Linked DNA regions of Neurospora crassa OR74A. The protein of the gene in region 1 purifies or fractionates together with the protein of each later gene. This does not show direct contact. Links are inferred from orthologs where the notes say so. Each region holds a gene or a part of one and is shown on either strand. Other genes may lie near its edges.

Region 1 (3,968 bases):
GACGGCACACCGTAGTGGGGGGGAAATACAGTGCGGACTCTGAGAGAGGTCCGGACGAAGCTATTCCCAGGTACTTAGCCATACGTACTTATAAATAGACGGTGCCATCTTGCGCACAGCCTATCTCCAGTGGACCCTGTGAAGCTCTTGTAGTGTAGCTCGCTTACAGGCAAGAGATGAAGAAACTCTCTGGCACGCATGTGTCCCTGTTACCAGCAAAACAAAAGAAAAGTATCAACATGCCAATGACAGGACCATCTTCAAGTCTAACCGCAGCACAGCAAGCACAGTGCACGTCATGTTCGTACAACCCCAGAGCTCTCAAGAAGCGCGCCATGAGATGTCGAATCAAGCAAAATACCGCTGTGATTGGGCATGACCAGAACCAACAGTCGGCTGTGATCCGGATGATGCCAGGGACTTGTTCGAGATATGCGTGCCAAATGGTGGGTCTAAGCGCGGATGGCTGGGGATCATGACCCCCCGAAGAACATCTGAAACCAAAGATGCTCGGTTCAACTCAAGTGGTGAGTTCCATGATGCGCGGCATGAACGTCTCTCAGATATAGTTTAGCCATGCGGATCCCAGAGTTCAAGCATGTCGGCGACTGAACTTTGCATAAACATGCCCAATGTGCTCAACATCATAGTTAGAGCTTCCGTTGCTAGCTCCCCTCGAGGGCATGGATAGTGTCGGTTGGTGTCGGTTGGTGTCTGTACACGGCACCATATGCTCCGATGTGCACTTTACAATATTGTTTTTGTTTTTTGTTGTTCTCCTGACAGATGAACTCCAGATTGTTTGGCTGTCAAGATGTATGGTCGTGACGGTCCGAGACTGGCCTAACGAAATCTGTGAACTGTTTTCGCACGAACCCAAAGGGCGTTGTGACATCCTCGTGAGCAAAATGACAAGCACAGTAAAAGATGCCATCACAAAACATAAAGAATTCGGGACAACTGGAAGTTGGTGATGGGGCTGCTCGCCGTTCAATGTTGACGAAATGCACGGGCCAAGCCATGTGTTCTTTCTCTGTACATAACAGTTCTATGGCCTGGGCCTTGGCGAGGCTGAACGCGTTATGTGGCGCGTGGCGTAACAAGTTCAGTTGGAGGGTATGTACAGGGGCGGGTGGCCGGGCCTTGCTTGGCCCGCCGTCTTGCTCCAAAAATTCGGGTCTGGTCGACACTACACAATTGACGTGCGTGCACCGACCGACGTGACCTGGCGGCAGGCGAACCACCTAGGAGCGAGCAGCACGTACACGGCGGCAGCAGCAGCAAGCGGGCAGCCTTTCGGCCAGAAAGGTTCAGGGCAGTCGCGGTCAACTCAGACCTCCTTCAATTGCTAATCACTTCTTTTTCACCAAACGAGCTCGCTCTTCACCCAACTTCCTCCTGTATTCTTCTTTTCTTTTTTTCATCAGCACCCTAAGAGCGACTGTTGCTCCCATCGAAACGCGCTTCATTTCCAATTCCGACCCTCTTAGGCGGTCGAGACTTGTCCGAAAAGACACCTATTTACACACCAGTTTGCGCCACCCCAACCAGCCGTAACCATGAGCAACAGCATGCGCGACTTGATTGACGGCGAGGCCGAGCTCGATGACGAGGAGGATGATGAGTCCTTTGATGAGGAGGCCGGCGACCGCCCGAGAAGAAGACCCAACATTGATGATTCCAGCGAAGAGGAGGAGGACGACGAAGATGAGGAAGAGGCTAGAAAGGTATGCCGCCTCTGGCCCGATGCTGCAACATAGCTCCGGTTGGGAACAACGCTGACACACCCACCGCTCACAGATTCGCGAAGGTTTCATCGTAGACGAAGATGAAGAGGACGAGGCCGAGGATTCGGATGCGCGCGAACGCCGTAGGAGAAAGAAGCGCCGTCGTGAGCGCGAAGAGGAGGAGCAGCTCGACGAAGAAGATCTCGACCTGATTGGTGAAGCGATTCCTGAGTGGGAGCGGAAGCCACAACCCCAGGTATGTGCTCTACGGTTTCCGGTGATATCATCCAGTCGGCTCACCTTTTTCCAAGCAAACCAAGTTCAAGCGCCTGAAACGGGGTCATAGGGATGACCACCGCCCCACTGAACGTCGCGGTCTTGCCGAGATCTTTTCCGATGAGGACGAAGAGCACGATGATCGAGGCTACGGCCGTCCCAGCGGCCGGGCTCAAGCGGACGAGTTCGACGACTTCATCGAAGATGATTACCCCGAGGATGACGAAGAACGTCGACACCGCGAAGAAGATGAGGAGGTTGCTCGTCCCAAGGATAGGGGCCTCAACATCGACACAACCGGCCTCGACAAGGATGCTCTCGAGGACATGGATGCCATTTTCGGTAATGGTGAAGATTACGAATGGGCGTTGCAGCTGGAGGAAGAGCAGGAGCACGCGGAGCGAACAAAGGAAGATATCGAGTTGCAGGATGTCTTCGAACCTTCGCAGCTCAAGGAGAAGCTTCTTACCGACGAGGATAACAGGATTCGGTTCAACGACGAGCCTGAGCGCTTCCAGCTCGATCGCAAGGCTTTCAAGAATCTCCAGATGACGTCCGATCAGTTCAAGGAGGAGGCTCGGTGGATCAGCAACCTGATGCTACCCAGCAAAAATCTTTCCAGTGAGCTTCACGGTCCGTTCAACAAGGCCGTGGGCAAGGTCCTCGAATTCTTCGTTATCGACGGCGTCGAAGTTCCCTACGTTTTCCAGCACCGAAGAGACTACCTCATCCACGCCAAGAAGATGCGCAACCCGAATCGCCGTGACGATCCTGACGCTCCCGAATATACTGTTGACGCCGAGAAGCTCCTTACCCAAGATGACCTGTGGAAGGTCCTGGATCTCGACATCAGGTTCCGGTCTTTCCTGGAGAAGCGTAACGCGCTAGAACAAACTTACGACAAGCTCAAGGAAAAGACCCGGGACGATATCCTTGAAGAGATGATACGCCAAGCGCAGTCCATTGAGGAGCTCCAGGATCTCCAAGATTACCTAAACTTCCAGTATTCGGCGGAGCTGAAGGACCTTGCTGCCAACGATAATAGCGCACAGCGTGAGATTAAGAGGGCCGGTGGCAGGACAGCCCAGTTTGAACGCATCCGGCGATCCAATGCCTACAAGTTTGTCCAGGCACTCGGAATAACGCCTGATCGTCTTGCCAAGAACATTCTGCGCGAAAGCAGCAAGGTGACCTCAGAGGACGATTCAAGGCTACCAGATGACCTGGCCGACACATTGGTAGACGCCGATTTCCCGACCGGCGAGTTGGTCATCAATGCTGCTCGCCAGATGCTTGCTGAAGAAATGTTTGCCAGTCCTCGGATGCGCAAACACTTCAGGAAAAATTTCTACGGCATGGGCATTGTGAGCTGCCGTCGTACTGACAAGGGTCTACGCAAGATTGACGAAGCAAATCCTTACTACGAGGTCAAGTATCTCAAAAACATGTCTATCGCCGATCTTGCCGTTCGCCCGGAGCTCTTCCTCAAGATGATGAAGGCAGAGGAAGAAGGGCTCATCGAAATTAAAGTTTCGCTGGAGAACGACCGCGAATTTAGGCAACAACTTTTTAGTGATTTCGCCTCGGAGAACTTTAGCGAGCTTGCCGACAAGTGGAACGCGGAACGTCAAAAGGTGATCGATTTGGCCTTTGACAAGCTGGTAAAGGTTATTGTCAAGGGTGTGAAAGACTCCTTGCGGACGGCGTGCCAGGATGAGCTGCTTAAAACCTGCCGTGAGCTTTACTTCAAGAGACTGGATCAAGCCCCTTATAAGCCCAAAGGTATGGTTATTGGCACGACTCCCCGCGTGCTCACGCTATCGAATGGCATGGGCGATCCCAACCGTGAACCTGTATCCTGGGTCTCGATGGATGAGGATGGAAGGATTCTCGAACACGGTACCTTTACCAACCTAGCTCGCGATGAGAGTCAACGCGAGGCCTTGGCTGAGCTAGTCAGGCGTC
Region 2 (3,887 bases), on another chromosome or scaffold:
GCATGGGCGCCATGAAGGTGGCCTCGTGCTCGTTGGGGTTGAAGACCTCACCCTCAGGTTCGATGCGCTCAAGACCGTGCTTCTTGAGGGTCGAAAGGAGGATGCTCTCGGTCATCTTGAGACCCTCGTAGAGGTTGACGAGGTCCTTGAGGTGCTCAGACTGCTCCTCCGACTTGAGCTTGTCCTGAGGAACCACGCTCAAGGCGCGCTCGAAGTTGTCGACGCTTTCAACGAGGTCCTTGGCGAACTTTTGAATGGCAAAGTCCTTGGCCTGCTTGACGTCGCGGGCGGTGCGCTCCTGGAGGTTGCGGAAGTCGGCGACGGTGCGAAGGCACTTGTCCTGTAGAGAGGGGCATCCCGTGTAAGTGACTTGTCCATCATGGCTGTATGTGCATATGCTTTGAAGCTCAAGAACCAACCTTCCACTCGCGGGCCTCGGCGTCCTTGGCCTCGAGCTGCTTCTTGAGGGCAGCAACTTCATCGGTCTCACCCTCCTTCTGCTCGGCGCCCTCGTCGGCCTTCTTCTCACCCTCAGCCTCGGCGCTGTACCACCGGGCGGCGGAGCGCAGCTGGGGAGCAGCTGTCCGGGCAGCTTGCATCTGGAAGATCTGGGAAGCAATAGGGCGCTGGGCGGCAACGCGGGCGCCGGAGCAGAGGGCTCTGGAAGAGCGGGTGAGGGCTGTTCGTAGCATGTTGGCTGGGTATCTGGATGTGACGGGTGGTGAGATGTGGCGATGTCAGAGACAGGGAAGCGTCGCGTGTTGAGAGAGGCACTTTCTCAGAAATTTTGAGACAGCTGCGCTAGCACGGGACGGAGACGGCATGGACGGGCGGCGGGTTGGGCGGCCAACAGGGGCCTTCGCAGTGTCTCCCACAGTGGGATGGTGGGAGGGTGGGTGCTGCTGCTGCATCAATCCTGTCGGCCGGCTGGGCGGGAGCGAACCGAAAAGCGGGTCATGAACGGACCGCCCAAAATCGACGAATTGCCTGCCGGACCATCGAGTTTTGCTCAAATCGACAATTGGAGCTTCGACACCTCAGCGCCCCGGGTGTGCCTGGCGGGGCTCTTTTGTGCGGGGGAGTCGAGATGGACCTGGCTGCTCCTACCTACTCTGTTAAAGACACGCCGTGGAGTTAGCCAACGCCAGGTCATGTGAAGATAAGGCCAGCTTAATCCTGGTCACTTTGTCTGCCCGCTGCGGCCTCAGCCAGAGGCAAGATTGGCGACTGGCCGCACTCAGTCCTACCATAGGTGGTGGCGCCTCCGAACCTCGACCCGTCAACGCGCCGGAAACCGAAATCAGTCCGCAACTTGCATTTCGCATCAACCGGCCCTCAACAAAGGCCACCTCAACCGCAACTCACCCTGCCTCGAACCACAACTTCCTGAACCGTTTCTCCCCCCGCATCCAAATTTTATCATACACCACAAAACGTACCATCGAGAACTGCCGACTGTAGCGAGAACAACTGACCGACCGCCGGTCAACACGCAAAGATGGATTACGATCCGATGGTGATGGACGACGCCGAGTCCCTGGGACCGGTCGTCAAGATCTCACAAGTATGTTCTGTGTGCTCTTGCTCACAGCAATTGCGCTCAGCTGCTCGTTCATCGTTCTAAACCATCATTCTAGGCGGACAACACCCGAGTCAAGTTTGAGCTCTCCAACACCGAGCTCAGCTTCGCCAACTCCCTTCGTCGCGTCATGCTTGCCGAGATTCCCACGATTGCCATCGATCTAGTCGAGATCGAGGCCAACAGCTCCGTTTTGGCCGACGAATTCATTGCCCACCGCCTGGGCCTGATTCCACTCAACGCCGAAGGTATCGAGCAGCTTCTGTATTCTAGGGACTGCGACTGCGACGAATACTGCGAGCATTGCAGTGTGACCCTCAACCTTCACGCCAAGTGCACTGGCGACGACATCATGCAAGTCTGTGCCCGCGATCTTGTTCCAGTCGGCGATCGCGTCAACCAAGTTCTCGGCTCGCCTATCATCAATGATCCTGAAGGCCAAGGTCCCCTCATCCTCAAGCTTCGTCACGGTCAGGAGATCAAGCTCCAATGCATCGCGAAGAAGGGTATTGCAAAGGAGCATTCCAAATGGGCCCCAAGTGCCGCCATCGGCTTCGAGTACGATCCTCACAACAAGCTGCACCACCTCGACTTGTGGTATGAGCAGGATCCTAAGAAGGAGTGGTAAGTACATTCCATCATCTTCACTTTTTCCAATTCCCTTTGATGTGACCGATGTCTCACCATTTTGTTTTTCTCTCCAGGCCTCCTTCGGAGTACGCCGACTGGGAGGAGCCTCCCCAGGAGGGCGAACCGTTCGATTACGATGCCGTACCACAACGCTTCTACTACAACGTCGAAACCGCCGGTCCTATTCCCCCTGATGCTATTGTCACTGAAGGCATCAAGGTCATCCAGCAGAAGTTGGCTGGTCTGATCCACGAACTTACCGAAAGCGATGGTGGTGAGAACGGATACAACGGACCGCGCAGCCCAGGCTACAACGAAGGTGGCGACAACTGGAACGACCAAGGATCGTTTACGCCATATGGAAACGGAGGAAACCAGAGCTCTTGGGGAGGTCAGGGAGGTACCACGCCCTACGGAGCGACTCCCTACGGAGGCGGCCAAAACCCTTGGTCTTGAGCATCATATGCTTACAGTTTACGATTTGCGACGTCAATTACTCCTCCTGATGGCTTGCGAGGTCATTGCGCCTGTCTTTTCCGGGAGGTTTTGGGTATCTGCGGTATCTTTGCGGCGCGAGTTCGAGCTGCGCACTTCGATTAACAACACAACACTTTTACCATTCAAACAAGATTGAGATTCGCATTCCTATACACACACTCGCGCCATCACCACCAGCTCAGCATCTACTTAGTAATCGTGGCGCCTCCGTCTCTTACTGCGGGGACCGTAACTCAACCACACTTTGTGGCTGAGGCCCACGGAACGGATCAGGGCCAAATATCGGACTTTTGGCGCTAGGCACGAGCCGCCACGTCAAGGTCAATTTTGGGGGAAACTGGGAAAAGGAACTTTGGGAGCTGGATCTTGACATTAGGGGAGAGGAGAGAGGCGCATTCTGAAGGGATTCAAGTCAGGGCGAGAGGAACCAGAGCATATCTTATTTGAGCGTCCCTCGTCCAGACACCACATATACTAGGCAGCGGAACGAGGACAGCTCTCTCTGTTATTGGCACCCTGCAAATGATCTATCGCACAATTGCGAGGTATAGACAAAAGGTGAATATAGTTACCATGGTCTGGCGACTACATAGGGGACCAAAATACCCAAAAAAAACATTCATAAACGGTTCGAAAGTGCGAGGTTCATAAAAAATCAAGATGCCATTCTCGCCGGTTGCTGGAGTCTAGTAAGCACTTGCTGCTCTGGTCTATTTGCTTTACACAACTCTGCAGGAAACACCAAACTCCCAGGGTAAGACTACATAAAGCCAAAACACCATCGAAATGACAGCCCTACCGCCGCTTCAATGCCTGACGGATGAGGGAACATCTAACAAAGGAAACCTATGAACAAGAAAACATGAGGTATCGCCATCTAGGTCCTGACAGAAAGACCACCACTCGGCCTCTAAAATGCAGATTTCCTCTATACAAATCCGGCCATTATGTCCCCACCCACAAACTTTTTGATTGAAATGCATTTGAAAACCCGCTGTTGCTGCTGCTAGTCCGTCTAAGAAGCAGACTCCCAAGACTGGACATGGGAGGAAAGGTGAAGAAAGAAAGAGAGATTAGAAAAGGTAGGTAGCCAGGAAGAGGAGCAAATGACAACTCATTCCTCAATGCCCTTGACCTTCTTGTACATCTTCCGATGGCCCTCCAAGAAGATGAAGGTGCA
Region 3 (4,299 bases), about 890 kb from region 1:
AGCCGTGTTGGCGGTTTCTGCGAAAACTGCGCGGGAGGTGCTGAAGAATTCGGATGAGGATACCAAGGTTCCAGTACCACCTACGTCCGCGGGAAGCGAAGCTCAAACGACGAGGTATATCCTCAACTGGGCGTTTGGAAGGTGGACGTTTACACCTGTTGCGGCTGAAGTCAAGGAGCACGAATCCAGCAGTGAGGCGATACTGAGGATGACCATGATTCTGGCCAGGTATGAGAGCACCAAGTGGAAGAAGAGACTGGAGGCTGGTGGGTTGTTGGAGCTTGAAGAGGAGAATGGGAAGGGCGAGTTGAGCGTTACCAAGGTCAACTAGAGAGCGGCACGTTTGATAGACGAGGAGCTATGGATTATGTATGAACGAACAATAAGACTTCGGGATAGAATAGAGCGCACCTGATGGGAGCAAATAGAAGCAGACGTCCCAAAGACATATTGACAAACTTCTTAAAAATTCAACATCCACTCCTCGCATACTCTCACCACAAGACACCTTGAACAAATCTATGGTTCCCATTCTGCCCTAGCATTGAGCGAGTAAACGGAGAGATCTGTCAAAACCCCTTATTTTCCATATCCCATGCATGTCTTGATCATTAACGCCTGCAAAGAGACTGACTGAAAAGCATCCTCAAAGAAAATCCCTAAACGCCGTTTTTGAATGACGACCGATCCGATCAACAAAACAGCAAAGATAATGAGCTAATCATGTTTTCACCGTCCATGCCACCATCGCATCTCTTTTCCCACCCCCCCAATTCAGCATCGGACGACCTTCGTAAACTTTCCTCCGGCAGTCAAGTAAAGTAAAGTAAAGGCGTGTCGGGAGTAGAGTAAACACCGCGAACAACCCCGTTAAGGCGGGCATCGATTCGATCAGTAATGACCGCCATTAGCGCCGCCGTTCACGCCGCCTCCCTGCTCGCCCTGGTCAGCATACTGGCGCAGGGCAAGCTCCTTCTGGAACTCGCGGCCCAATTGGCCGTACATGGCCACGAGCTGCTTGCACGCGCCAACGAGAGCCTCGCGCGGGGTGATGCTTCCGTCTGTCTGGATACGGATGAAGAGTTCCGGCACGTTAGGGTGGGCAACTAATAATTACGTGTCAGTCAGTTTCTGTTTATCTCGCCATGGGTGGTGGTGGTGGTGGTGGTGAGGGTTTGTGTGGGGAGGGGGGGTAAAGAGAAGAAAAGTAAAAGTGAAGTAAGACGCGGCGGTACGACGTGACGTACTCTTGTATCCTGCCATCAAGACATGAGGGGCCTGCTTCAGATGTTCGGCGAGGAGGTTGCCGAGGGTGTGGTCCTCCTTGAGAATCTTGAAGTCGGAGGTGTTCGACATGCCTATCCAAGTAATGGAAAAAAAAATCGGGGTCAGTTTTCTTGCCATTTCCTTCTTCTACTATTTCTTCTTCTCCCCACGTATCACCTCATTATCAAGAAGATGAGGAGATCGACTCGACTCACCAGTGAAAACCTTCTCCTCAATCTTCTTCTCTCCATCCTGGAGAAGGAAGAGCTCGAACCTGGTTGTTTTTGGAAGCAAATGTCAGTAATGTTTTCCTACTACCCAAAAGTGAGGTAATGATGAGAGTATAAACGGAAAGAAGAAGGCGGACCGGTTCGGCTCGCTGTTTTGCTTGGGATTGGCTCCGCTCATCTTGTTGATCTTGGTCCTGTTCGCTGTTGCCAGGTGACGAGGAGGGCATGGAATCAATATCCTTCTTGTCGTGATGGACTGTGTGCTAGTCCAAAGGGATGTTGGTTTGACGAAGGGTTTAAGTGGTGTATGAGGAGGAAGTCGTCCGCCTTTTATATCGTTGACAGCCAGCGACTCTCCATCCAGATTGAGTTTGGTCAAGGTGAATCCGTGGTAGACAAGTTACCCACCAACTCCCAGATCGCTAGTCTCCCAGCTGCCTCGCCTGCCTGTTGCCTTCCATTTGCGTCCATGGTCCATGATCAGATGAAAGCCGTCCCGTTTGTTTCGCGTTCAAAACAATAGGCACCTGGCACCAGCAACCAGACAAACACCGCCTACCGGAGGGGAAGATTGAACCAAGCTCGTAGACCATGAAGGATAGACACGTAAGGCTAAGAACTGGGGCGGACTATTCGAGTGTCTGCCTGTCCGTCCAGGTCGATTTGTTCCATTGTCGTACTGAGATGAGTTGACATTGCGGTTCCAGTCGACACCGGCATGTGACATAATGACTTTTGACATAGTCGTTATGATTCCTTGTCGAACGCCCTCAAGAGATTTAAGGCAACCCAGGTCGAGTGTTTCCGGCATTTGCGTGAGGCGCGTCGTCCAGGGCAGAAGGAAGAGGGGGGTTGGTTTCTCCATGTGGAAAGAAACCAGCAAGAAGAGAAGATTCTACTAACCTATCAGGGGCGTTCATTTTGGCGATTGGCTAACGATATGACGTAGAGCTCGTTGTTGGTTATCGGTGGTGTATAAACGATTGTCGTCGTCGCCCGATATCGTGAATTTGCGATATGGTGTTGAGGTTGAGACCGGGGGGTGACGATGTCAACTGCTCAAGAACGTCGAGTGGTTGATGTAGCAATTGTGTAGATTCGCTCTTATGGCGGGACCGGGGGAACGTAGGAATTTCGATACCCAAAATTGGAGCGTGAATGGGACAGACTACCAAAGGTTTCAGTCGCTCAGGTTTTGATACTGCTCGTCAGCTGGTGAAGGTTTTGATCTTGGTGAAGGGGGTGGGATGTTTTAACACAAGTGAACGCACTTGATCGATGTCTTCGAGGTCGTCCAGGTTGCGCATCCACTGTGAGATGGGGGCAACGCAGTTGGAGCACTGAACTCCGGATCAAGGTACGTGTGGTCTGTGCGCTCAGTTATTTCAGCGCCATCCCGCTTTTGGATGACTCGGTCCGCTGGGCTGTATACATACATGCTTGCAAGGGAGGGTTAGGGTTCAACAAAGAAAGAAAGCAGTGAGCTTGCTTGTTGGCGAAGCAGACGACGGCGACACACTGTGGGGAAGGAACTCTTTCCAACCATGAAATGAGGATGGTAGTATGCAAAGAGTAAACCGATATATGGAAGGTCATCGTAGCTACCACACTGTTCGCTCGAACACTGTTTGCAATGGGAGAGAAAGGCCGCCCCTCAAAGAGTCAGAGATTGTAGAGACTGCTAGGGAGAATAAACCCAGTAATGACACGTCAAAACAACAGTAAAATGACATCGACACCATAGACGTACAATGGGGAAAATGCCAGACTAATCAATTTATTCAAAAGTCAAACTATTCTCGCTCCATCGTTATGGTAACGAGCTTCTTCAAACAAACAGGGAAACGCTTCCCTCACGATGCAATACAAACTCTAGACATGCTTCTCGGCAACAGATTGCTCACTCCCATCAAGTCTACAGTGTAGTCCATCCCACAATCATCTAGTCATAACCCATATGTCTTGCTCTCATCATGTCGACCCCTATCCCATGATTTCCTTTCATTCTATACAACCATAATCATATCGTCGGATCCATTGTTCTTGATAAACCCCAACGCTCGTCCCATATAATCAAGAGGATACTCATGACTCATTCCGTGATCAATACGTACACGTTTGCACGCCTTTACGGGTTCAATCCCTTAGCATCGCAATAGCCAGGCGATTCTCCGCCCTCTCCAGCGCCGGCCCAGCTCATGACAGTCAAGGTAGTCGTGTACGCCATGGCAATGAAGCCAAAGACGCACAGGGCAACATCCGAGAATTTCCAGAGAGCGCTTCTGGCGACGCCCCTGTAGTGCAGCATCGGCTGTTTGTGACTGTGTTAGCGTCTGATTGATCATCTACACAAGAAGGAGCAAGGGTACGTAGCAAAACTCACCGGATAGATATACACCAACGGGATGCAAGCAAAGTTACCGACCAGTGCGACGAACTTGTCCAAGTTATCGGCACCCGCCCATGCAACCATGGCGCAGAAAGCGACGACAAAGAAGCGGAACACGTTCTTCTGCCACTTGATATACGGATTGTACTTTCCGCTCTTCGTGAAGAGTGCATTCTCCGTGATCCTGATGGCGGGGAAGATCTGCAGTGGGGTCGAAAGCAGGATGGCGAGCGAGTAGAGGAACTGCACGCCGTTGACCATTTTGTTGTCCTGGGGCAAGTTGAGGAGCACGACTGTCTCGGTCTTGGAGCCGTAGGCGGCATAGGAGACGGCGCCCATAACGGTGAACAAAGTGGTGATGATGATCATGACGACGGCCATCACCTTGGGGAACTTCTCCGGGTTTCTCATGGA
Region 4 (3,949 bases), on another chromosome or scaffold:
TTCCGACGGAGCCCTTCGAACGCGGCTCAAAACCCTCAGGCAAGACCTTGGGCTACCAGCACATTGTAGAGTAGAATGCAAAGACCACGCAAGTCTGCTACCAAAGTTTCTAAGCGATTGGAGGTACCATCGCTTCCAATACCATCGGCGCAGGATGAATCGAGTACGGAGAACAAGCATCCCCACAGGCCCATGAGAAGCCTTCAACAACACCGATCCTGATCAACCGGCCTCTGCCCTCGTCAACACACAAACGGCGCCCGCAAAGAAGACCTATCAGACTCATGTTGGCGTTGCAGCAATCGCAGCTACGGTCCAGATCGTGCCCGTGCTGATTTCGCCCTTCAGCGGGGGCCCTCTAACGGCGTACATCAGTGCATTTGGCTTTTTGGTGTTGCTGAACGTTGAAATGGGTGGATAGCATTTTCTCGGCGACGCTCATATTATTCCCCAGTTGCAATGGTGCTCATGGTAGTTGTCCTCCATGGGATTGGCAGCAAAGGATGGTAGGTTCTGAAGGGTTTGATCGAAGCAAGGCGAGTGCTTTCATTGCATCTGCCTGATGAGTTGCTGGGATGGTGTTCTTATCTCTCTCTCGAGGTTGATAACCTCAACGCACGGTCCATGTTGGATGTTTGTTAGCTCGGTACTTCAAACAAGACACTCCGACCTTTGTAAGGCCGGCGGAAAGTCCTAAAGATAATTCAAAACAAAAATGTAGCGAGGTCCAAAACATGTCCGAGAGAGACAGGAGTCGAAATGGCCAGAGATAGCGTTGGGAAGAGGAGTTGAAAGGGCTTAAAAAAACGTCGAATGTATAGAGAAGTGGCCCCCAAACAAAGTTTCGCTATACCAGGCAGATGTAAATGCTGCGCCTGCTGTGAGCTGTCGCCGGCCGACGTTTGACCTGGGAGCCTGGGCCTTTGACCTCCATCGTTGCCGGCCGGATTTGGCGGGGACTTGGGTGAATGGACGTTATGTTGCATTAGTAAAGCTGCAATCCAACCAATCAGCTTGACGAACTGGCCGGTTCAAGATCCACTTTTGGCCTCGCCGCCTGGAGCTTGGACTTTGTTCAGTCTGTGCTTTGCCAGCAGCAACCACGTCTGGCCTGCCTTGTAGCCCAGTCGGACCTTGTCTGTCGGTTTGGGATTTTGGAGTGGCACTCTCCGTCCGTCCCTCGCTGGCGTTCGGCCACTTTCCCCAAACCACCATCACCACCTCCTCAACCAACATCGCGACCTCCTCCGCGCGTGTTGTCCTCTCACCCCGCCACTCCCTGCAGCCGCCGTCGACGTTTCTGTTGCGCTGCATCCATTCTCGCACAAGTCGGCATCCATCGACTCGATCCGTTCATTTGCATCTCTTTGAAGCGGCAAAGAGGGTGCAACGTCGCGTTCCGACATCGACAAGGAAAATCCGAAAAAAGTGACGAGCTGTAGATGGGCGACTGAGTGATCCTCGGCCATCTACCACCACCTACCGCCGGCTAACCCGAGCCGCGATACCCATTTTGCTTTTCTCAATCGACCGACCGTTATCTTCTTTTTTAATCGACCCCGGATACCCCAACAGCAGCCAGACCAGACGCTGTCGTCGCGTTACCGCCTAGTCTAGTGCCTGCCGATTCCCGGTCGGACCTTTCATTCACATACCCCGCCACCGACCGCCACCTTTCAGGATCCATTCCCGATTCATCGATCACTTGTTCAGCCAGCCCTCAGCCCGCTCGACAACCATCCTCTCGCCCGTTCACCAAACCACCTGCACCGCTCGCCTTGCTGATTTGCAAGATGGCCGCCTACGCAAAGGACGGCAGCCAGAGCTATGGCGGCTATGGAGACACATACGACAATGATGACAACTACGAGAACCTCTCCACTTTCGACGACGAAGATGACGGTTCCGACCCCAACGCCATCACGCCCGAGGATTCGTGGGAGGTCATCTCTTCCTACTTCGACCTCAAGGGCCTCGTGTCCCAGCAGATCGATTCTTTCAACGAGTTTACAACAGACACAGTGCAATCTCTAATAGACGAGTATGCCGATCTTACCTTGGACCACCCAAGCCCAGGCGACGACGAGGGCAGAGAGATCATTTTGCGCAGATACGACGTTCATTTCGGAGAGATCATCATTTCCAGGCCGACCCTCACCGAAGCCACGGGCGAGACTATTAGTCTTCTCCCGTACGAATGCCGTGACCGCAACTTGACCTACTCGGCTCCCATCTACTGCAAGGTCACCAAGCGCGCCCGTATCGCCGTCAGCGAAAAGAAGCCCCTCAACCAGCTGACCGATGACGAGCACGACCACATGGCCCGCACCGGCGAGCACCCGACTGCTCTGCGCTGGATCGAGGAGGAGAGTGCGCCACCAGAACCACCCAAGGACGACAAGATTAACCCGGAAAACCTCAAGGGCTATCTCTTCCTTGGCAAGATCCCTATCATGGTCAAGTCCAAGATCTGCCACCTTTACATGGAGGACGACGAGTCCTTGTTCACCCTCAACGAGTGTCCTTACGACCAGGGTGGCTACTTTATCATCAACGGTAGTGAAAAGGTTTTGATTGCCCAAGAGCGCTCTGCCGCCAACATTGTCCAGGTCTTTAAGAAGCCTCCTGGTGGCAGCGTCTCGTACCAGGCCGAGATCCGCAGTGCTCTCGAGAAGGGCTCCCGTCTCATTTCCTCCCTCCAGATGAGGCTGCACACAAAGGCTGACCAGAACAAGGGTCGTTTGGCCAACACTGTGAGCGTCACCCTGCCCTACGTCAAGGAGGAGGTCTCTCTCGCCATTGTGTTCCGTGCTTTGGGAGTTGTCTCGGACGAGGATATCCTCAACCACATCTGCTACGACCGCCGCGACAGTCAAATGCTCGAAGCCCTTCGTCCCTGCATTGAGGAAGCCTTCTGCATTCAGGACCGTGAGGTCGCTCTGGATTACATTGGCAAGCGTGGTAACGGCAGCACCGGAATAAACCGCAACGGCCGTATCAAGGCTGCTAAGGAGATGCTCCAGAAGGAACTGCTACCCCATATCTCTCAGGCTGAAGGTTGCGAAACCAGAAAGGCCTTCTTCCTTGGCTACATGGTTCACAAGCTGCTCCAGTGTGTCCTTGGCCGCAGAGATACCGATGATCGTGATCACTTTGGTAAGAAGCGCCTGGACTTGGCTGGTCCTCTGCTGGCCAAGCTTTTCCGTGGCATCGTGAGACGCCTGACTCAGGATCTCATGGGCTACATGAAGCGCTGCGTTGATACCAACAAGCACTTCTCCCTGGCCCTCGGTATCAAGGCCTCCACCCTTACCAACGGTCTCAAGTACTCGCTTGCCACTGGTAACTGGGGTGACCAGAAGAAGGCCATGTCCTCGACTGCTGGTGTGTCCCAGGTCTTGAACAGATACACATTCTCGTCGACCCTGTCGCATTTGCGTCGTACAAACACGCCCATTGGTCGTGACGGTAAGCTCGCCAAGCCTCGTCAGCTGCACAATACACACTGGGGTTTGGTCTGCCCAGCAGAAACGCCAGAAGGTCAGGCTTGCGGTCTGGTCAAGAACTTGTCTCTGATGTGCTTCGTCTCGGTGGGTACACTGGCCGATCCCATCATCGAGTTCATGATTGCCCGAAACATGGAAGTGTTGGAGGAGTACGAGCCTTTGCGGTATCCCAACGCCACCAAGGTGTTCGTCAACGGTACCTGGGTTGGTGTCCATCAAGATCCCAAGCATCTCGTCACTCTTGTCCAGAACCTCAGACGCAAGAACATCATTTCGTTCGAGGTTTCGCTGGTTCGCGACATCCGTGACAGAGAGTTCAAGATTTTCTCGGATGCCGGTAGAGTCATGAGGCCGTTGTTTGTTGTCGAGCAAGAAGACAACAGCGAATCCGGTGTCGAAAAGGGTCAGCTCATCCTTACCAAGGAGCATATCAGGCGCCTTGA
Region 5 (4,027 bases), about 1.6 Mb from region 1:
CTTGGTGACGTTGGCAGCAAAGTTGGAAGCGTCGGCGTGAACCTATAAGACGAATACCGTGTTAGTCTCAACCGTCCTCAAGTTTGGAGAAGCCTGTAGTTCGTAGGTAGGTATGCGCGATGAGGTCTTCAACTGTCTCGAAACAAAGGATTGGACTGATTGAAACTGTTCACGAACCATTTTGACGTATTATTATGACCCTGTTCTTTCTATGTACAAATCTTGAAAATCGACCTAGAGTGGTGGTGTTGGACACCGAGGAAGCGAACTTCAACTTTTGAAATTTGTCATTCACTTCTGAATCCGGGGAAGTGGGGCCAAATGGCACTGCTCCGGTCGGGTCCGTGCGGAACTGCCGCCGTACCGGCAGCCGATGGGCCGGCCCCGAGTGGCCTCCGGTGGATTCACGGTTTCGATCCCAAAGAGGACCGGACTGAATCACCAGCCGGATAAAGGAATCCAAGATAATTGTGCGGATACTTACTAGATGGTGTGGGAGGCTCGTCCTCGCTTCATACTGGGCAGGATACAGCTCAAGGGCCCTTCTCGGAAGTTGTGCTGATGGCAGCTTGTCTTCTATTAGTGATCTGGACCTTATGATGTGCTGTCTAAGTTACCCGAACCAAGGTCCAGAAGATGCCCAAATGGTTGTCGAGACGGCAGCGGGAACTACTTATTTTTGCAGTACAGCAGCTCGCTTTGCAGTGAACGTCAAATCACGGACAAGTGATTGGTTCGATGGGCACAGTTCGTCGTCTTCCACCATTCAGTAAAGTTTCCCGTCGGGCAGATGTTAGCCAATTTTTCCATCTCATGGCGGTATCTTCCAGAATGCCGATCTATCAAGTATAGATGTGAAACATCACAGGTTTTCCGAGCGGCATCTTGGACATTGCTCTTTGCACTTGTACGCGGTGTCTGGGCCCGTCGAGTCTATTCTTGAAGATAGTGTTGCTGTCGTTTCGCACAGTGATTGCCATCACTCGTTCATTTATTCATTCAGGTTGACATGGGTATCAGCTCTAGGTTGATCGCTGCTGAGGACGTTCTTTGCGTCGAAGTAAAGAAAGGTGAGTTCTGGTTAGTACGTCTACTAGTATTTAAATGGAAGAAGTTCGGCACCCCAGAGCTTCCATCGCTTGCCAAGACTTAGTTTAATCGTACCTGTGCATTGGAAACTTAGCTCCACCCCTCCCGTCCCTCTGTTTCCATTCCACGCCCTGTCCCGCCTGTCCCTCTTTCATCTCCATGCACTCGCTGCAGGGCACCTAAAGAAAGAGGTACAAGTTCGACTTACAAAGTTAACAGAATCGCAAGTTGTTGGAAGTCCCGACGACACCATTTACGCTCGTCTATTTCCATCATTCATCAATATACTTCTCTACGATTCCCATACTACAGACCTTTCAGGAATATCACCATTGCCGTGGCAACCAGCATATATAGTTGCCTCAGGCACAGAACAGAACCTCTTAGGCATCCTAACGCGAAGGCAGTGGACAGGGGCGCCAAGAGCTGTGGCCCGTGACGTGAGCGACGCGCGACACGGGAATTTTTGTGTCTTTGGCCTGGAACCGGATCCCGGCTGGCAAGCACTGTAAAGTACTAGCAGTGCCGGCTGGAGAGGTGTGGTAGCCTTGTTTCTGTCATCTTGAAGGGTGTCTGCCGCCACCGTCAGTACCAGAGCAAGCAGCCCCTCGCCAAAAGCACGACTTCACCCAAACCCAAACCTCTGCTGATTTGATTGTTTCTGCCATCTTCAATCGCGCGCCGCTGTGCCGTCGCTCATCATGGCAGACATCAAAATCGACAGCAAGGTCTTCCAGGAGCGCGTCTCGCACTTCTACAATGCCTGGAAGGCCGACAAGCGCTCCGGAGACGCTCTCTTCGGTGGCGTCTCTTCCATCGTCATCCTGATGGGCAAGGTCGACGAGAACCCCGAGTTTCACAAGAACAACGCTATCCATGTGAGTTTTGCCCTCTGGAGAGCCCGCTCGGCGTGCGCTGGCTGTACGTCTGGCGGGCCATTCCAGTCAAATGACAGCTGCTGATAGCTCTACGTAAAGTTCTGGCTGCTAGGTTACGAGTTCCCGACGACCCTCATGCTGTTTACCCTCGACACCATCTACATTCTCACCACCCAAAAGAAAGGTTCGCCCGGTATTCCCGACCCAAGAACGCGGACAAACTATCTGACACGTTAATAGCCAAGTACCTCGACCAAGTGAAGGGCGGCAGATACCCCGTTGAGGTCCTCGTGCGGGGGAAGGACGCCGCCGAGAACGAGAAGCTTTTCATCAAAATTACGGATGCCATCAAGGCTGCGGGCGTAAGTTACATCCCATCCTGGGCGCACATCAACATCTCGGTGCGGTTCTAACACATTTTCGCTCGTTATAGAAGAAGGTTGGCGTCCTTACCAAGGACACCTCCAAGGGCCCCTTTATCGACGAATGGAAGAAGGTCTATGCCGATAACTGCAAGGATGTGGAGGAGGTTGACGTTGCCCAGGCTCTGTCTGCTGGCGCCTTCTCCGTCAAGGATGAGACCGAGCTTCGTGCCATGCGGACCTCGTCCAAGGCTTGCGTCGCCCTCCTGACCCCTTACTTCCTCGACGAAATGTCCAATATCCTCGACCAAGATAAGAAGATCAAGCACAGCGCACTAGCCGATAAGGTCTTCAACAAACTGGAAGACGATAAGTTTTGGAAGACCGTCGAGCTGCCCAACCGACAGAAGCTCCCGGCTGACCTCGATCCCGAGCAGCTGGACTGGATTCTGGGACCGATCGTCCAAAGTGGTGGCAAATTTGACCTGAAGTGGCAGGCTGATTCTGACAATGATATACTCCACCCGGGAATTATCATCGCGGCTATGGGTCTCAGATACAAGTCCTATTGCTCCCAAATCGCCAGAACTTTCATGGTCGATCCCAACAAGTCCCAAGAAAGCAACTACAAGTTCCTACTTGCTGTCCACAACCTCATTCTCAAGGAGATCCGGGATGGTGCCATTGTCAAGGATGTTTACACCAAGGCCTACAACTTTGTGCGGTCCAAAAAGCCCGATCTTGAGAAGCACTTTCTTAAGAACGTCGGCTTTGGAATCGGCCTGGAGAACAAGGACCCGACCTTGATTCTCAACAACAAGAACACCCGTACCCTTAAGGATGGCATGACACTGGTTGTGACCACCGGCTTCAGTGATATCCAGAACCCCAACCCCCAAGACAAGAACAGCAAGGTCTATTCCTTGATCCTTTCCGATACGATCCGTGTCACTAGCTCCGAGCCGGTGGTGTTTACTGGCGAGGCGCCTGTCGATGTTGATGCCACCTCGTTCTTCTTCAAAGATGAGGAAGAAGCACAGCCCACACCGAAAAAGGAGAAGCGGGACTCTAGGGTGGGTGCCGTTGCAACCAAGAACATCACTAGCACTCGTCTACGCTCTGAGCGTAATACAACGGTAGATGAGGACGCGGACAAGAGACGTCGCGAGCATCAGAAGGAACTCGCGCAGAAGAAACAGAAGGAAGGCTTGGCCAAATACGCCGAATCTACCGCTGATGAGAATGGCGTCGAAATCAAAAAGTTCAAGCGCTTCGAATCTTACAAGCGGGATAATCAATTCCCGCCCAAGGTTAAGGATATGGGCATCGTTATTGATCAAAAGAACGCGACCATAGTACTGCCTGTTATGGGCAGGCCGGTACCCTTCCATATCAACACCATCAAGAACGCAAGCAAGAGTGACGAGGGCGAGTGGTCATTCTTGAGAATCAACTTCCTATCTCCTGGCCAGGGTGTGGGTCGGAAGGATGAGCAGCCCTTCGAAGATGCATCTGCGCACTTCGTCAGGAGCTTGACTTTCAAATCAACCGATGGCGATAGGTATGCTGACATTGCAAACCAAATCTCGAACCTCAAACGAGACGCTGTCAAGAAGGAGCAGGAGAAGAAGGATATGGAGGACGTAGTTGAGCAGGACAAGCTCGTTGAAATCAGAAGTAAGTCGCTTTCCCGGATCA
Region 6 (4,219 bases), on another chromosome or scaffold:
AGATAGTGATCGGAATTTCCTGAGAGTCAGTATCGCTGGACAGGTTCCTACATTGAGAAGGCGGTGGGTTGAAGATGACTTGCGCCGCCTGTGTAGTGGTTTGCGGAAACTGGATGATGTAACGATTGCGGCCGCATTGGCAGCCACCACGGAGGGGACGCTCGAAGCTCATCTTTGAAAAGGTGTAGAAACAACAAGGCAACAAGAGTGATTGATGGTGGAAAGATTGATTCAAGCTTCGTTGGGATCCTTGGGGGGCCAAGTAAGTGTGCAAGTCGGAAGTTCGGTATACTAATAGCTCCAGCTAAGGTTCAATTGAAGCAGGCAAACAAACGGCCCAGGCAACAAAGGAGAGCTTCGTTCTGTTTGAATAAAGAAACCGAGCGAAATATGACGATCAGGGCAGACGAGTGACGGAAGGAAGTCGAGGCGGGGCAGCTTGAGCGGGTGTGCGGGATGCCACCAGTTCAAGCATGTAATACGTCAATCGTGGGGTGGCGTATAAGTGCCCCTCGTGGTCTCCAGGTCAAGGCCGCAGGCAGGAACGTCTACGACGGGAATTGTCACCTTCGGTGAGCGAGTCTTCCGCCCTTGTGAAACAGCCAATGGGCACAACAAGAACGAACTAACTTGAGAGTTATGTTTGTGTTCAAGGGAAGAAAAAGAAAGAGATCAAGAAGTGGTACAAGGCAGAGAACATTACCACTTAAGGTGACTAAGTACCTCTAATACAATCCCATGTCATGAAACAGGCGCGGAAGATATCATATGCAACCACTTAAAGCTCCACGCGCTAGCCCCACATGCTTTTTGGGGGGTTGACGATATTGGGAATCGCGCCCATGTCCATGAACCGAAGCTATGTTGAGTTTGTTTAGTAGATTGAGAGTGGCAACCCAAGTGGCATATTTGGAACCAGTTGAAAGCTTCAAAATGCTCTGACCAAACAAGGAACGCTTGTCGCGAGGGGACACTTTTCCCACGTAACGAAGCGACTCGCTTGGAACGTCCTCTTTCCCTCCCGTGTTCAACGGGCCGAGCACTAGCGGAACGAATACAAGCAAGAAGGAGCGAGATACAAAGAATTCAAATGTGAAAAAACCACCCAACATAATTGTTGATCCGTAACTACAAGAGAATGGAAGGTGTTGTGTTACTGTAGATCGCGACAGATTGGAGGACAAGAGGACGCAGTTTCTTTTAGACATTCAAGATGATACAAACAGTGAATGACTCTCAGAGCGACAAGAAGGCCTGTGTGTCGTTGGCAAAGCTTCCTTGGAAGGTGACAACTGAATAAAGTGGTGGTGTTCTTGCAGGCTTGGGAGAGAAATCAGAAGCTCACAGTTGCCACGCGCTACAACCAAGCTGTTGCCCACTGCGTAGACCCTACACGTACAGTAGTACTGCGACTTGCCACCTGCCACCAGCATGGGTCGTCGCCTAGCCCAGCGGAATGCCACCTGCCAGCCGAATTAACCTTCAATTAACGAACTGGCCTAGTCGCGACACGGTCAACTTTCTCCGAGGCACGCGAACCTTCAGTTGGATTGTTCATCAGTATTTGCTTGCAACACTTTGCAATCACTGCCACAACATCAGACGCCATTTCCAACTTGTCCATCAACCCCAACTCACCATTAAACCAGTTGGATAGAGGGGCAATATGGCTGCCATGTAAGTCGCATACCTTTCTGGATTTCATGCTTTCGCGCGCTCTTGCTCGTCTAACCCTGCGACGACGGATGTGCCCCGCTCCATCTACGCCGTAGGGCACGGCTTTCACCGGCGGAGATCACAGCTCAGTGCCATTTCTAATACCTTCATTTACAGCGAGAGTTTTGACAATATCTACTTGGATCTGTCCAAGGAGAGCGGAAAGTCGAGATTCGCGGAAAATGGCTTGGGATGGAAACCTGCGGGTGGCGGCGAAGCGTTCACTCTCGACTCGAGCAACATCGGCGGTGCTCAATGGAGCAGGGCGGCGAGGGGCTATGAGGTTAAAATCCTATTGCGAAGCTCTGGCGTAGTTCAGCTCGATGGTTTCCACCAAGAAGTACGAAACCTATCCACGCGCCATCGAAGCGAAGGAACGCTGACGTGTTGCCACAGGATTACGAGCGCCTTAGCAAGATCTTCAAGAACTGGTACAGCGTGAACCTCGAGAACAAGGAACACTCTCTGAGAGGATGGAACTGGGGCAAGGCTGAGTTTAGCAAAGCCGAGCTCACTTTCAACGTCCAAAACCGACCGGCCTTTGAGATTCCTTACTCCGAGATTTCCAATACAAATCTTGCCGGAAGGAACGAAATCGCAGTCGAGTTCGCCGGCAACGATGGCGGCAAGTCGAACGGTCACAGCGGAACAGGCGGAAAGGGCAAGAAGGCGTCGGCCGGCAAGGATCAGCTGGTCGAGGTGCGCTTCTACATCCCTGGAACGACAACACGAAAGGAGGCCGAGGGTGGTGAGGCTGGTAGCGACGCCGATGAAGAAGAGAAGAACGCCGTGACTCTGTTCTACGACACCCTTATTGAGAAGGCCGAGATTGGTGAGACGGCGGGTGATACTATCGCTACATTCCTCGATGTGCTACATCTCACGCCCAGGTACGTGGAAACTGCACGCTGGTTGTTGATCCTTTTCCGGTGCTAACTCTCCCGATAGAGGACGTTTCGACATCGACATGTACGATGCCTCCTTCCGTCTCCGTGGCAAAACATACGACTACAAGATCCAATACGATGCTATCAAGAAATTTATGGTGCTTCCCAAGCCGGACGATCTCCATTTCTTGCTTTGCATTGGTCTCGACCCGCCCCTTCGTCAAGGTCAAACACGTTATCCATTTGTGGTGATGCAGTTCAAGGCGGACGAAGAGGTGACTCTTGACCTGAACATCACCGAGGAGGAACTCAACGGAAAATACAAGGACAAGCTTCAGAGCCACTACGAGCAACCACTTCATCAGGTTGTGGCGTACATTTTCAAGGGACTTGCGAACAAGAAAGTCACTACACCAGCCAAGGACTTTACAACGTGAGTTATATCTGTTCATTTCATAGCCAGCAACGGTACTGACCTAGGAACCCGCAGGCACCGTCAGCAGTACGGCATCAAGTGCTCTATCAAAGCCAGTGAAGGATTCCTCTACTGCTTGGAGAAGGCGTTTATGTTTGTCCCCAAGCCGGCCACGTACATCTCATACGAACAGACACAGTCCATCACGTTTTCACGCGTGGGCGGTGCGGTCTCGGCATTGTCGACGTTCGACATTACAGTCCACATGAAAAACGGCGCGGGCTCATCCCAATTCAGCAACATTAACCGTGAAGACTTGAAGGCTCTCGAGGAATTTTTCAAGCTCAAAGGACTGCGTGTCAAGAACGAAATTGATGATGACACCAACCTTATTGCCGCCGCCTTGGGCGATGACGACATGGCTAGCTCGGACGAAGAGGCCGTCGGCCCCAAGGCTGATCGTGGCTCCGCTGACGAGGATGAGGAGAGCGTGGATGAGGACTTCCAGGCTGAGTCCGAAAGCGACGTGGCGGAGGAATACGACAGCAACCATGAGAGTGATGGGTCGGGCAGCGAGGAGAGCGACGTCGACAATCGGGTCGATGATGAGGATGAGGATATGGATGATGACGAGGGAGAGAAGCGCCCCAAGAAGAAGAAGAAGACGGCTTAGGTTTATTTTTCATGTTGGCGCGTCGTTACTTGTTTGATTAAAAAGGCAGATCACAGGCTGGAAGGCAGGCAGGCAGCTGGGTATTTGGGGCGTTCCGGTACTTTCGTGACACGAATATGTGTTAATTCTGTATTTTCTCTACCATATATCGATACGATACTTGGGGCGTCAAAGACGACATTCCCAACGGCAGTGTCAAACTAGTATCTCGATGTTCCCTCAACTTGGGCGCGCAATGGAGCTAATGAACACTGAAGAGCGGCAGGCAGATGGTCAGCTACCTAGTTGATCCGTTATGGTTCTTTTTTTTCCCCTTCGACTACAACGAACATAAGACATCGGCACATCCTTTGAGACTTCGCTTCTTCTTCAGGGCCGCAGGATGGATAGAGGCCGTACTCCAAAAGTACGGCATGGAATGTATCAGCCTGCAGGGCGTGCAGGCGGTTGAGGTGGGTATCGCTCTAGCGGTCAAAAATCTACCTACCTGGTAGGTAGGTACCTACCTCTATGCGTTCCCGCTCTGTC

The links.
Region 2: the proteins of NCU04611 (region 1) and NCU01515 purify together in Saccharomyces cerevisiae (affinity purification with mass spectrometry; 9 studies listed by BioGRID, with this or other methods). This does not show direct contact. The link is inferred for Neurospora crassa OR74A from reciprocal best matches to the Saccharomyces cerevisiae genes SPT6 and RPB3.
Region 3: the proteins of NCU04611 (region 1) and NCU03782 purify together in Saccharomyces cerevisiae (affinity purification with mass spectrometry, with the first as the bait; 3 studies listed by BioGRID). This does not show direct contact. The link is inferred for Neurospora crassa OR74A from reciprocal best matches to the Saccharomyces cerevisiae genes SPT6 and RPB11.
Region 4: the proteins of NCU04611 (region 1) and NCU05120 purify together in Saccharomyces cerevisiae (affinity purification with mass spectrometry; 3 studies listed by BioGRID). This does not show direct contact. The link is inferred for Neurospora crassa OR74A from reciprocal best matches to the Saccharomyces cerevisiae genes SPT6 and RPB2.
Region 5: the proteins of NCU04611 (region 1) and NCU01164 purify together in Saccharomyces cerevisiae (affinity purification with mass spectrometry; 5 studies listed by BioGRID, with this or other methods). This does not show direct contact. The link is inferred for Neurospora crassa OR74A from reciprocal best matches to the Saccharomyces cerevisiae genes SPT6 and SPT16.
Region 6: the proteins of NCU04611 (region 1) and NCU00133 purify together in Saccharomyces cerevisiae (affinity purification with mass spectrometry; 4 studies listed by BioGRID, with this or other methods). This does not show direct contact. The link is inferred for Neurospora crassa OR74A from reciprocal best matches to the Saccharomyces cerevisiae genes SPT6 and POB3.

Annotation. Positions count from the first base shown.
Region 1 is NC_026505.1:1,505,100-1,509,067, forward strand, and holds the start of NCU04611 (transcription elongation factor spt-6), read left to right. Parts: upstream 1-1,168; 5' UTR 1,169-1,559; coding exon 1,560-1,727; intron 1,728-1,800; coding exon 1,801-1,983; intron 1,984-2,038; coding exon 2,039-3,968. UniProt on the Saccharomyces cerevisiae protein: Histone H3-H4 chaperone that plays a role in maintenance of chromatin structure during RNA polymerase II transcription elongation thereby repressing transcription initiation from cryptic promoters.
Region 2 is NC_026502.1:3,218,554-3,222,440, forward strand, and holds NCU01515 (DNA-directed RNA polymerase II polypeptide), read left to right. Parts: upstream 1-1,258; 5' UTR 1,259-1,498; coding exon 1,499-1,564; intron 1,565-1,637; coding exon 1,638-2,203; intron 2,204-2,283; coding exon 2,284-2,665; 3' UTR 2,666-3,387; downstream 3,388-3,887. Other genes in the region: NCU01516 (mitochondrial co-chaperone GrpE), read right to left, coding at 1-340, 420-692; NCU01514 (mitochondrial dicarboxylate carrier), read right to left, coding at 3,822-3,887. UniProt on the Saccharomyces cerevisiae protein: DNA-dependent RNA polymerase catalyzes the transcription of DNA into RNA using the four ribonucleoside triphosphates as substrates. Component of RNA polymerase II which synthesizes mRNA precursors and many functional non-coding RNAs.
Region 3 is NC_026505.1:2,390,594-2,394,892, forward strand, and holds NCU03782 (DNA-directed RNA polymerase II subunit RPB11), read right to left. Parts: upstream 2,801-4,299; 5' UTR 2,417-2,800; coding exon 2,400-2,416; intron 1,541-2,399; coding exon 1,482-1,540; intron 1,359-1,481; coding exon 1,248-1,358; intron 1,107-1,247; coding exon 892-1,106; 3' UTR 453-891; downstream 1-452. Other genes in the region: NCU03781 (CobW domain-containing protein), read left to right, coding at 1-331; NCU03783 (transmembrane domain transporter), read right to left, coding at 3,625-3,807, 3,880-4,299. UniProt on the Saccharomyces cerevisiae protein: DNA-dependent RNA polymerase catalyzes the transcription of DNA into RNA using the four ribonucleoside triphosphates as substrates. Component of RNA polymerase II which synthesizes mRNA precursors and many functional non-coding RNAs.
Region 4 is NC_026506.1:3,684,660-3,688,608, forward strand, and holds the start of NCU05120 (DNA-dependent RNA polymerase II RPB140), read left to right. Parts: upstream 1-1,149; 5' UTR 1,150-1,793; coding exon 1,794-3,949.
Region 5 is NC_026505.1:3,095,916-3,099,942, forward strand, and holds the start of NCU01164 (transcription elongation complex subunit), read left to right. Parts: upstream 1-1,227; 5' UTR 1,228-1,790; coding exon 1,791-1,967; intron 1,968-2,066; coding exon 2,067-2,151; intron 2,152-2,207; coding exon 2,208-2,329; intron 2,330-2,400; coding exon 2,401-4,006; intron 4,007-4,027. Other genes in the region: NCU01163 (GAF domain nucleotide-binding protein), read right to left, coding at 1-42, 178-180. UniProt on the Saccharomyces cerevisiae protein: Component of the FACT complex, a general chromatin factor that acts to reorganize nucleosomes. The FACT complex is involved in multiple processes that require DNA as a template such as mRNA elongation, DNA replication and DNA repair.
Region 6 is NC_026503.1:2,736,155-2,740,373, forward strand, and holds NCU00133 (FACT complex subunit pob-3), read left to right. Parts: upstream 1-1,419; 5' UTR 1,420-1,666; coding exon 1,667-1,677; intron 1,678-1,833; coding exon 1,834-2,056; intron 2,057-2,112; coding exon 2,113-2,606; intron 2,607-2,664; coding exon 2,665-3,036; intron 3,037-3,093; coding exon 3,094-3,691; 3' UTR 3,692-3,955; downstream 3,956-4,219. Other genes in the region: NCU00132 (hypothetical protein), read right to left, coding at 52-172. UniProt on the Saccharomyces cerevisiae protein: Component of the FACT complex, a general chromatin factor that acts to reorganize nucleosomes. The FACT complex is involved in multiple processes that require DNA as a template such as mRNA elongation, DNA replication and DNA repair.